2 linked regions of the Schizosaccharomyces pombe genome follow. The protein of the gene in region 2 purifies or fractionates together with the protein of the main gene of each other region. This does not show direct contact. Each region holds a gene or a part of one and is shown on either strand. Other genes may lie near its edges.

Region 1 (5,126 bases), on a different chromosome or scaffold from region 2:
GTTGCTGGTGTATCTAATGACAATACCCCGTTTATCTGTGGATTCGATTCCATTGGATGCATCGATTTTGCAGAGGATTTCATCGTTTCTGGAACCGCTACAGAACAACTTTATGGTATGTGTGAGTCTGTATACGAGCCCAATTTAGAGCCTGACGATCTCTTTGAGACTATCTCCCAAGCTTTACTTAACGCCCAAGATCGTGATTGTATTAGTGGATGGGGCTGTGTCGTTTATGTTATCACCGCAGACAAATGTATCAAACGACTTGTTAAGGGTCGCCAAGATTAAGCACTTTCACGATTACGATCTTTCGTTTTCATCTAGATTCTTTCATCATTTTAATGTAAGTCTTGCTACGAAATTTTAAAAAATTAAATTAGGATACATTTTTTCATGAGGCATGATTTAGACCAGTTTCTGACAATCCCTTCGGAATGGAAACTTCAATGAAGTTGTTCGTAGCAATATGATAACGATTATACTCGCCTTTTTTTGCTCAGCCTTTGTGGATATCCGAGCTTGAACTGTCATCCTTTCTTTTAGCTTGTGAGCATTTTCAATAATCAAAATTTTCCTAAATGGTTATTGTACAAGTAAAACTCTTATCGTATACAAGCAGGGTGTACTTTCTTCTGTACGTTTTATTAGTGCGAAATTTTATCCATTAAATACACACAATGCATAGATGCTTGTAAATAATTTTCGTACATGCAGTAGACTAAGACTAAGGATTGCTTGCTGTAAGCACACTTACAAGGATTTAAGAAATAAACTAACTTTTTCAATTGTTGAAGTCATTAAATTAGAAACTGTTTATATACAAGAAAACTTTATAATAAATCACTAAATCATATTTCAGCATAGTGTAACGTACAAAAAGGCCATTATAAAGTGCCCATTCAATGTTATGCTCCAAAGACAATATTTACTGGGTGATTGCTGCATGTCTAACAAATGCTGCTTCATGATTCCGTAATTCATCAGGAATATGTGCTTTCGCGCTTCGGCTTAATAACACGCGTAAATCATAATATACATCAGTATCCTCTGGTCCCAAAAACGTTATTGCTGTACCAGATTTTCCTGCACGACCTGTACGACCAATTCTATGGGTATAGTCTTCAATGCTTTTAGCCATGTTGTAATTCAATACCAAAGAGACATTAGGTATATCAATACCACGACCTGCAATGTCAGTTGCAACAAGAATATCAGCCGTCTTATTCCTTAACTGTTCGATAGCTCGCTCTCTCTGTTCTTGACTTTTACTGCCATGAAGAGTAACAGCATGCCAACCAATGGCATTTAATTGCTTCGCAATAGCCTCGATATTACGCTTGAGATTTACAAATATGATAATAGGAGGTGAAAATCGATTAGATTCCAAAATCTCCTCAACTCTTCTCCATTTTTTGCTATCGTCAGATATCATCTCAACACGCTGTTCAACGCGGTCAACTGCCTGGCCAATGTTTCCAATAGTTAACATCACTGGTTCAATTAAATAGCTCTTTGCCAAATTAGCAACACGTGGGGGTAAGGTCGCACTGAACATAATGGTTTGACGTCTTGACGAAGAGGAATTTGCAGTAGCAAGAATTGACCCATCCTTTTCAGAAGCATTTGAGGAAGGGAGTGATGACAAAATTTTATTAACATCATCTTCAAATCCCATGTCAAGCATCCTATCCGCCTCGTCCATTACAACATAAGTGCATTGGCTGAGAACAAATAGCCGTCTTTCAAGACAATCAAGAAGACGACCAGGAGTAGCTACAACTATATGAGCACCTTGACTCATTTGAAATGATTGCTCTTCAAAAGCATGACCACCAACGACAGAAACACACCGGAAACCCAAAGGTTCCGCAAACTTGTTGCCTTCCACTTGAATTTGCTGGGCCAATTCACGTGTTGGTGCTAAAACTACAGCATATGGGCCAAGATGCATGTTTGATTCGGTTAATGGGGGCAATTTTGATATGGCAATTATGAGAGGGATTATAAAGGCGGCAGTCTTACCACTACCAGTTTCGGCAATTCCAATTAAATCTTTACGCTGTAGTAAAACAGGTATGGCTGCCCTTTGAATAGAACTTGGTTCTTTATAGTTAACTTTCTTCAAAACTTTAAGCATCTCACTTGGTAAGCCTGCTTCTTCCCAATTTCTTAAAGGATTTGGTAAATCATCCCCTTTAATGGATATATTATAATCTTCCTTGAGGATTCTCCAGTCTCTGGGTTTCATGGCTTCCAATGGCTTTTCCCTCCATGGCACATCGTCCCAATCTATTTTTTTGGCTCGTTTTTCTTGAAGCTGAATCAACTCGTGTGCGCGAGCCTTATCCTGCTCCGTTCCTTGAAGCAAACGCTGAATCAAACCAGAATTACTTTTCGCTTTTCGAATCGACTGGTCATCAAATCCGCCTAATTTCCCCCTTCCAAATACAGCAATTGTAGCCTCAGGTGATGCCGAGGTTTCCGCATCCTTCATGGTATCGTCTGTGGCGTCCCAATCAAATACAAATTTTTTATCAGCATTTCTTCTTCTTTTTTTTACCACAGGAGGCTTTATACCCATGTACCTTTGACGAATGGTCATGCTGAATGCTTCGTCCGTTGCGGAGCTCTCTGTGCCACTGTTATTGCTAGATACAGAGGATACCTGGGATTTTTTTTCATCATCTGCTAATTCATTATTTTCTAAATGATTGGTAAAAGTCCTTTTTCTTAAATCTAATAATTTGTCATTCTGTTTTGCTTTCGCTTCTTCAACCTCTTTTTGTCGTCTTTCAAGGGCCAATCGAGCTCTTTCAGCTTTGGATAAAAACTTTGGTCTCGCCGCCTTCTCTTCCTTAACTCTTTTTTGCTGAACAAGCTGCTCCAGCGAAGGTATAGAGTCTTGCGCTGTCATGAACACGCTTCAAAAGAAAAAGACTTTTACGATACTCACAATTCTTCTATTTTTCTAGGATATCAATCCCAAATAATACAAAAGAAATGAATAGACCTGTCTTTAAACTAAACAATCCTTCAATGAACGTGTTGGTGTTATGCAAATGACAAAATCGTGTTTTAAATATACCTGCAGTATAGCGTGGTTGCCAAACTCATCGTAATTCAATATATGTTTTAAAAATCCAATGTAAATAAATGGCTCATTTTTATCAAGGTTCATTTTACATTAAAGAATGTTCATTCTTTGTAATAAAAACGATATAGATTCTAGTGAATTTGAAGGCATTTCTGGTTACTTACAGAAATTGTTCTAAAAATTGACTGGGAAACCCATTTGGCTGCTAGAAAAGGCGCATTAAATTGCTTTATAAATCCCAATTGTTTTACAAATTCATTTAATTCTTTTTACTCTTATTTCAACAAGTTTATGAAATTCATTCAAACAAACTATGATCATTCTTTCAAATCAACGTTTTACTACTAGGCTGACAGTTTCAATATTTCAATGTTCTCAACTTATTGTAGTACTTAATGAGAGAGAGAAATTAGTTTATCTTCAAGATATAAACAAATCCTCAATTTTCTTATTGAAATGAATCTTGATCGTAATATTCGATGTAACAGTTGTCTCCATATAGTACTTTACTGGTAATATCAACACCTCCTACAAACGCTTTCCTCTAAACCGATTAAAGTTGAAATTACTGGAGGTTGTTAATTCTTAAACATTTAAAAAACGCTTTCCTAATAAAAATACTTGAGAATCTGATGTTTTGGTTATAAGAGTACTTAGCAATCTAACGATTTTTTGCAATTGTTGCTATTTAGCAAATCCTCTGTTAATGAAAAACATCATTTCTGTTGGCTAACTGTTTGTTGATTTTTAATGTATATAATGTCGAAAAAATGTTATGATACGTCGGAAAAGATTGATCGTGAGCAAGAATGTGTTGAAGTGAATTATCAACATCGGAATTTTGAAAGTATTTTGGAAATATTTTCAGTTTTATTCATTCCTTTCTTATGCAACTCTGGCAAAAAGTTCCTCCAAATTTCAAATGCGTCCTTTTTTTTACCTGCATGCTTTTATTTATTGGGTTCGTCTAGCATAATCCAGCTATATGAGTACGATTTTACGAACAATTAAATTTTTAAACTTAAGTCAACTAACTCATTATTTAGGCCGTTATTGTGGTTATCATCGTTTCCCTTTTGTATCCTCTATGTCGGCTTTGGAGAAAACTCTGTCTTGTATCATGAGATGTACACGGTATGTCTTTACAACGCTCTTTTGTCCTTAACACAAAGATGGAAATGGCTCTCTATTGTTTTAGATGGACTGGGTAATTCGAGTGTTAATTTAAAACTTCACGAAACGGTCATCCTTGCCTTTCTTGAAATTACACAAAACAGTTTTACCTTCATTGAAGGCATTTTAATTTGTACCGGACTTACAGGTCTTTGTTTTGCTACATTTTCGTATGAAGTATCTCCTGTAGTTTCAGTGCTATCGGGAGTTTTACTCATTTCCTTACCTACACTCATTTTGTTAAACCTTTGCATATTAAAGCTTGCTGCTAAATTACATTTATCGGCACTCTTTACTACTTGTTTAATTTATTTCTTTAGCGCTTTGCTCGTATTTTTAGTGTCCAGGTCATGGGTTGCTGGGCAACTTGGACAAGCACCTGAAGTATGGTTGTTCAACCAAATTTTTTCGCATAGGAATTCCCTAACGAGGATTAAAATAATTATTTGGTGGATAATTTGCCTTGGTTGTTTTATTTTTATTCTTCTGCGAAGCAACCGTAATAATCCACTTGGCAAATACTTTACCACTGAAGATGAAGTGCTGAACTTTCGTAGAAAGACATATCATGCTTTGGTTGTCTTTTTATTTCTTCCGGTTTGTTGCTTAGATCCTCATTTTCTCCACCTGTCTTTTTCGGGAGTTTTATTCATATTTCTGTTTGTTGAAGGTATACGCATACTTCGTCTTAAGCCATTTGGAAAAATGATCCATGAATTTTTATGGGAGTATACCGATAACAGGGATCACAAGGGCCCCTTGATTATTTCCCATATATATCTTTTAATTGGTTGTGCAATTCCTATTTGGCTTTCGAATGCTTTAAAAGGTCCTGTTGCGTCGGTTGAATTACTGG
Region 2 (4,633 bases):
AATTTAAGAACATGAAGTTGCGGTCGAATACATTACAAAAAAGAAAAGAAAATTAGTATTATCACATAATTGCTTATATTAAATTACGGAAAACATCATGTTATCGATGGGTAGTTCCCAATAAATACTTTTCATATAATTTACAAGCTTCAAATAGAAAATTTAAGATAATAAGCGGATAGTTAACTTTGTACTCTGTGTCGAGTCAACTGTAATTTAAAAATTGATTTAACATAATTTTACTGTAGTTATGCTTCATGCACCACTTTAAATACGGTTAAGTTTAATATAAGAACGGTTACCATATTTAAATGCGAAATGCGATGAAGCTCAAACTTCATTCCTCACAAATTAAGAATAATTAGCAAAAAAGGAAATTTTAAAGTAAGGGTTCAGCGTCGATTAAAGTTTCTAATTATATTCAATACCAAAGTGAATTTTATGATTTGCGAAATCATTTTACATACTTGACCCAAAACCTCAAATCTAAATTCACATTGCTTTGCTCTTGTAACGATTAATATATTAAAAAAAAGATAAAATTGAGTAATACAATAAACTCGTCTTTAAAATATACCTATATCGTTTGGCGCTGTAATTTAACATCGATCATTCCTAAAACTTAATTTTATTTCATTATTAGTTCACTTTGCTCACCACCAAAAATGGAAAGAGTGCAGAAAATTTCTTTGCAATAGTCTAAATTTTTAATTAAATCTGGCACGCTTCAAATGTGCATTTGCATTTCGTAAACGAATGAAAGGGATATCTGATTTAATAATATGATCGATAAGTTTTGTTGGTTGGATTCGAGGACCTAAAAGATAGTTAGTCAATAAACGCGCAATTATGCAACATACCAGTTATTACTTGAGGAGCTGGGAGTTCATCCAAAAATTCGGTTATTATAGATGGTAACGGTACCGGAACAGTTGGAAGTGCTGAAGTAGGTGGATTCGATGCTCCTTGAGTGTTTGCTAATTCCAAAGACGCAGGAAGTAAACGAGTATCTTCCATTTCGACGTTACTTTTAGAAGAGGTAGAGGCTATAGAAACTTCATCATCTTCCCTGTTGTTATGAACATGGCCCGGGAATCCATTTCCTCCATTTAAGCGAACAGATAGTTCTCTAATTTTTTCCGCTTCTTTTGTTTCCCGTTCTTCTTCCTCAGCATCATCCTTCAAGCCATAGCGCGATAAAAATATGGCTTGTGTGGACTCTTGAGGGTAAACAACAGCCATTCTTTGACTAAGTGCTATAGCTGCATTCAAATCGCCATAATTACTTTCATAGTCAAGCCATTTTTGATATATGGGTTTAGCTTCATCAGCTGCAATCCTCGGGATGGCTTTCTCAAATAGCGCGCGAGCATTAGTTTCATCGTTTATAGCTATTAAGTATGACAAATATTTATAAACATAGGCTGGAACATCTCCAAAATGTCTCATACCCAACTCAAAAATTCGAGAGGCAATAACCGGATCCCTCGAACAATGATGTTCCATCATCGCGCTAGCTATATATATCTCATGAGACTGATATGGTGCTTTTCGAGCTTTGGTAAATATAGCTCTAGCTGCTTTCACGCCTTCAGTCCTCCTAATAGCATTTATTAAACAACACCAAGCAAGACTGTATTGACGAACAAGTCTACTTTTACGCTTTACTAGGTGTTCAGGTAATTTTTTTTCTTGAGGGTTTCCATCTGTTGAGCTTTCAGAGGACGACGATGCTTTGGAGTCCAATTGACTAATTTCCCGAGCTAAAGCTGCAATTAAAGATTCGTAGGTAGAGCGGATTTCAGATGTACGGTTATTCGCTTCTTCATGTTCCGCGTAGCGAACGTGTAAAACAAAATTTGAAGGACAATAACGCATTCCGCGACGAATAGTTTGAAGAGCACGCTGTTCATCCGAAATGCTCAAAAAGTAAGAAAATCCATCGAGCCATATCTGCGGACAAAGGGGAACATACAACATCGCTTGCTCAAAGGCATAAGCAATTCGATTCTGTAACATCGTGCCATGTTGTAAATCTAATGGATCACTTTGTTCCCATTTAATCCAGTTCATCCAACGGGAATACGCTATTCTTTCAACTTTTGTATACTTACGTTCAAAGGTAAAATCGTAAACTCTGAGTCCTTCTGTAAGGTTTGAAAGTTCCCTCATTGCTGCCCGCGCCGCCATATAAACAGGAGACTTCTCAGCTACAAATTTTCTGGCCGTTGCTCTGTTTACACTATTTTCGAATGCATCATAATCACGCCAAAGTTTTTCAATATTATGGATAGGTGTAGTGATAGCTCTTTGATAAATTCGACGAACATGATCTAGTTTTTGTTGTTGCTCCCATGTTGAATTAGCTGGGCCAGAACGTAAAAAATCCACAAACTCAGACCATATAGGGCCACTGAGTATGTCAACACCAATAGTATTTATTACAAACTCATAAGCCTGAGTAATTGTAGAACGAGATTGTCCTTCACCATCTGGATTTATTCGACGAATGTAACTTAAGTACAACGTCCATAAATCAACCGATAAAACCTTGACAAGGCATCGACTAAATAACAATTCAACGGCATGGAAATCGTTAAAGGCAAGCTCAGAACTAATGTAATCAACCCAAACTCGTGGAACGTAAGGAAAAGGTCGCAACATTTGTTCATAAGTTTCTCTTAACTCTTCGTGCTTCCCCTTAGATCCATACTCTTCTACCAGTGCATACCAAGAAGAAATATCGTTAGGGTTCTCTTGTATTTTATCCCGTAATTGTCCTACAAGGTCATTTGGGAGACGTTTTCGTTTTACACCACTACTGGCAGTCGTCGAAGTTGCTAATACATCACTCTCATTAACTGTTGAGGTATTTTCTTGTTCTTTAATTTTTGGAGAATCTTTTATAATATTCGAGCTAGCATCGGCTTCGACATTGTCATCAGAATTCATAATTTAAGTATTCGCTGGTAGAATTCACACAGCTTTCTCGCATTTGATACATACAGAAATTGTTACTTCAGTAACATTGAGGTAACATTCAATACTTTTAATCAACTTGCAAGCTTCATAATGCTGGTTATAAAGGAAATTTGTCTACATTTGGGAGAAACTTCACAGTGCTTAATTCTATTTTGTGAGGCTCACGCTTCAATACTTTAGGTAACTTAGTGAATCAAGTAGTATAATTTATTTAACAAATGCTAATACATCTTTCGTAAACAGAGAAAAAACAGATTTTTGCCAACACCAACTCCACATTGCAGTTTAAGAAATCTTTTTAATTGTGATGTTTGGTGGTGAGTTAGATGATGCTTTTGGAGTCTTTGAAGGTAAAGTTCCAAAAAGCTTAAAGGAGGAATCTAAAAATTCACAAAATTCACAAAATTCACAAAAAATAAAGCGTACTTTAACAGATAAAAATGCCTCTAACCAAGAGCAAGGTACAAAAAAGTTGGAGTCTTCAGTAGGGGAACAAGAATCTGCAACTAAAAGAGCTAAAATCGAAAATCTGAAGGATAACCAAGACCTTATTCCTAACAATGATGTTAACGGAATTCATATTAACAATTCTGCAGTCGCTGATACCAAACATAAGCCAAAAATAGGAGACATTGCTGCTGATGATATTTCCAATGAAGTATCTATAAAAAACGAAGGCGATACTATACCTGAGGCTACGGTAGCTGATTCTTTTGAGCAGGAAGCATCATTACAAGTTGCTGGGAAGGTTGGGATGACCGAAGCTAAATCATCTACTGAAGAAGTTGTAGAACTTCGTCATCAGGTCCGTCATCAAGTCTCTATTCCTCCAAATTATGATTATGTACCTATCTCTAAACATAAAAGTCCCATACCCCCTGCGCGCACATATCCCTTCACTTTGGATCCTTTTCAAGCAGTGTCTATTGCCTGTATTGAGCGTCAAGAATCAGTTTTGGTCAGTGCTCATACATCTGCTGGTAAAACTGTTGTTGCAGAATATGCAGTTGCTCAATCGCTTCGTGATAAACAGAGAGTTATTTATACAAGTCCTATCAAAGCTTTAAGTAATCAAAAGTATCGAGAACTTCTTGCTGAATTTGGAGATGTCGGTCTTATGACTGGTGATGTTACTATTAATCCAGATGCTACTTGTTTGGTTATGACCACTGAAATTCTCCGTTCAATGTTGTATCGTGGTTCAGAGGTTATGCGTGAAGTTGCGTGGGTTATTTTTGATGAGATTCACTACATGCGTGACAAAGAGCGCGGTGTTGTTTGGGAAGAGACCATTATCTTATTACCCGACAAATCACATTTTGTCTTCCTGTCTGCTACAATTCCAAATGCTATGCAATTTGCTGAATGGATTACAAAAATTCATCGTCAGCCTTGTCATGTAGTTTATACAGATTTTCGACCTACGCCTCTTCAACATTACCTATTCCCTAGCGGTAGCGATGGCATTCATTTAGTGGTTGATGAGAAAAGTAATTTCCGAGAAGAAAACTTTCAAAGAGCAATGAGTGCATTGATGGAAAAACAAGGCGATGACCCTGCCGCTATGGCTACTAAAGGTAATGCAAAGAAAGGAAAGACCGGAAAAGGCGGTGTCAAAGGACCTTCTGATATTTACAAAATCGTAAAAATG

What was found.
Region 1: the proteins of rna14 (region 2) and prp28 purify together in Schizosaccharomyces pombe (affinity purification with western blotting, with the first as the bait; one study listed by BioGRID). This does not show direct contact.

Annotation. Positions count from the first base shown.
Region 1 is NC_003421.2:854,944-860,069, reverse strand, and holds prp28 (U5 snRNP-associated protein Prp28), read right to left. Parts: upstream 3,054-5,126; 5' UTR 2,918-3,053; coding exon 929-2,917; 3' UTR 778-928; downstream 1-777. Other genes in the region: proteasome core particle subunit beta 3 Pup3, read left to right, coding at 1-291; dolichol kinase Sec59, read left to right, coding at 3,848-4,086, 4,144-5,126. UniProt on the Schizosaccharomyces pombe protein: ATP-dependent RNA helicase involved in mRNA splicing. May destabilize the U1/5'-splice site duplex to permit an effective competition for the 5'-splice site by the U6 snRNA, resulting in the switch between U1 and U6 at the 5'-splice site.
Region 2 is NC_003424.3:1,347,099-1,351,731, reverse strand, and holds rna14 (cleavage and polyadenylation specificity factor complex subunit Rna14), read right to left. Parts: upstream 2,969-4,633; 5' UTR 2,953-2,968; coding exon 861-2,952; exon of another isoform or gene 818-860; coding exon 708-817; 3' UTR 501-707; downstream 1-500. Other genes in the region: TRAMP complex ATP-dependent RNA helicase subunit Mtr4, read left to right, coding at 3,290-4,633. UniProt on the Schizosaccharomyces pombe protein: Component of the cleavage factor IA (CFIA) complex, which is involved in the endonucleolytic cleavage during polyadenylation-dependent pre-mRNA 3'-end formation.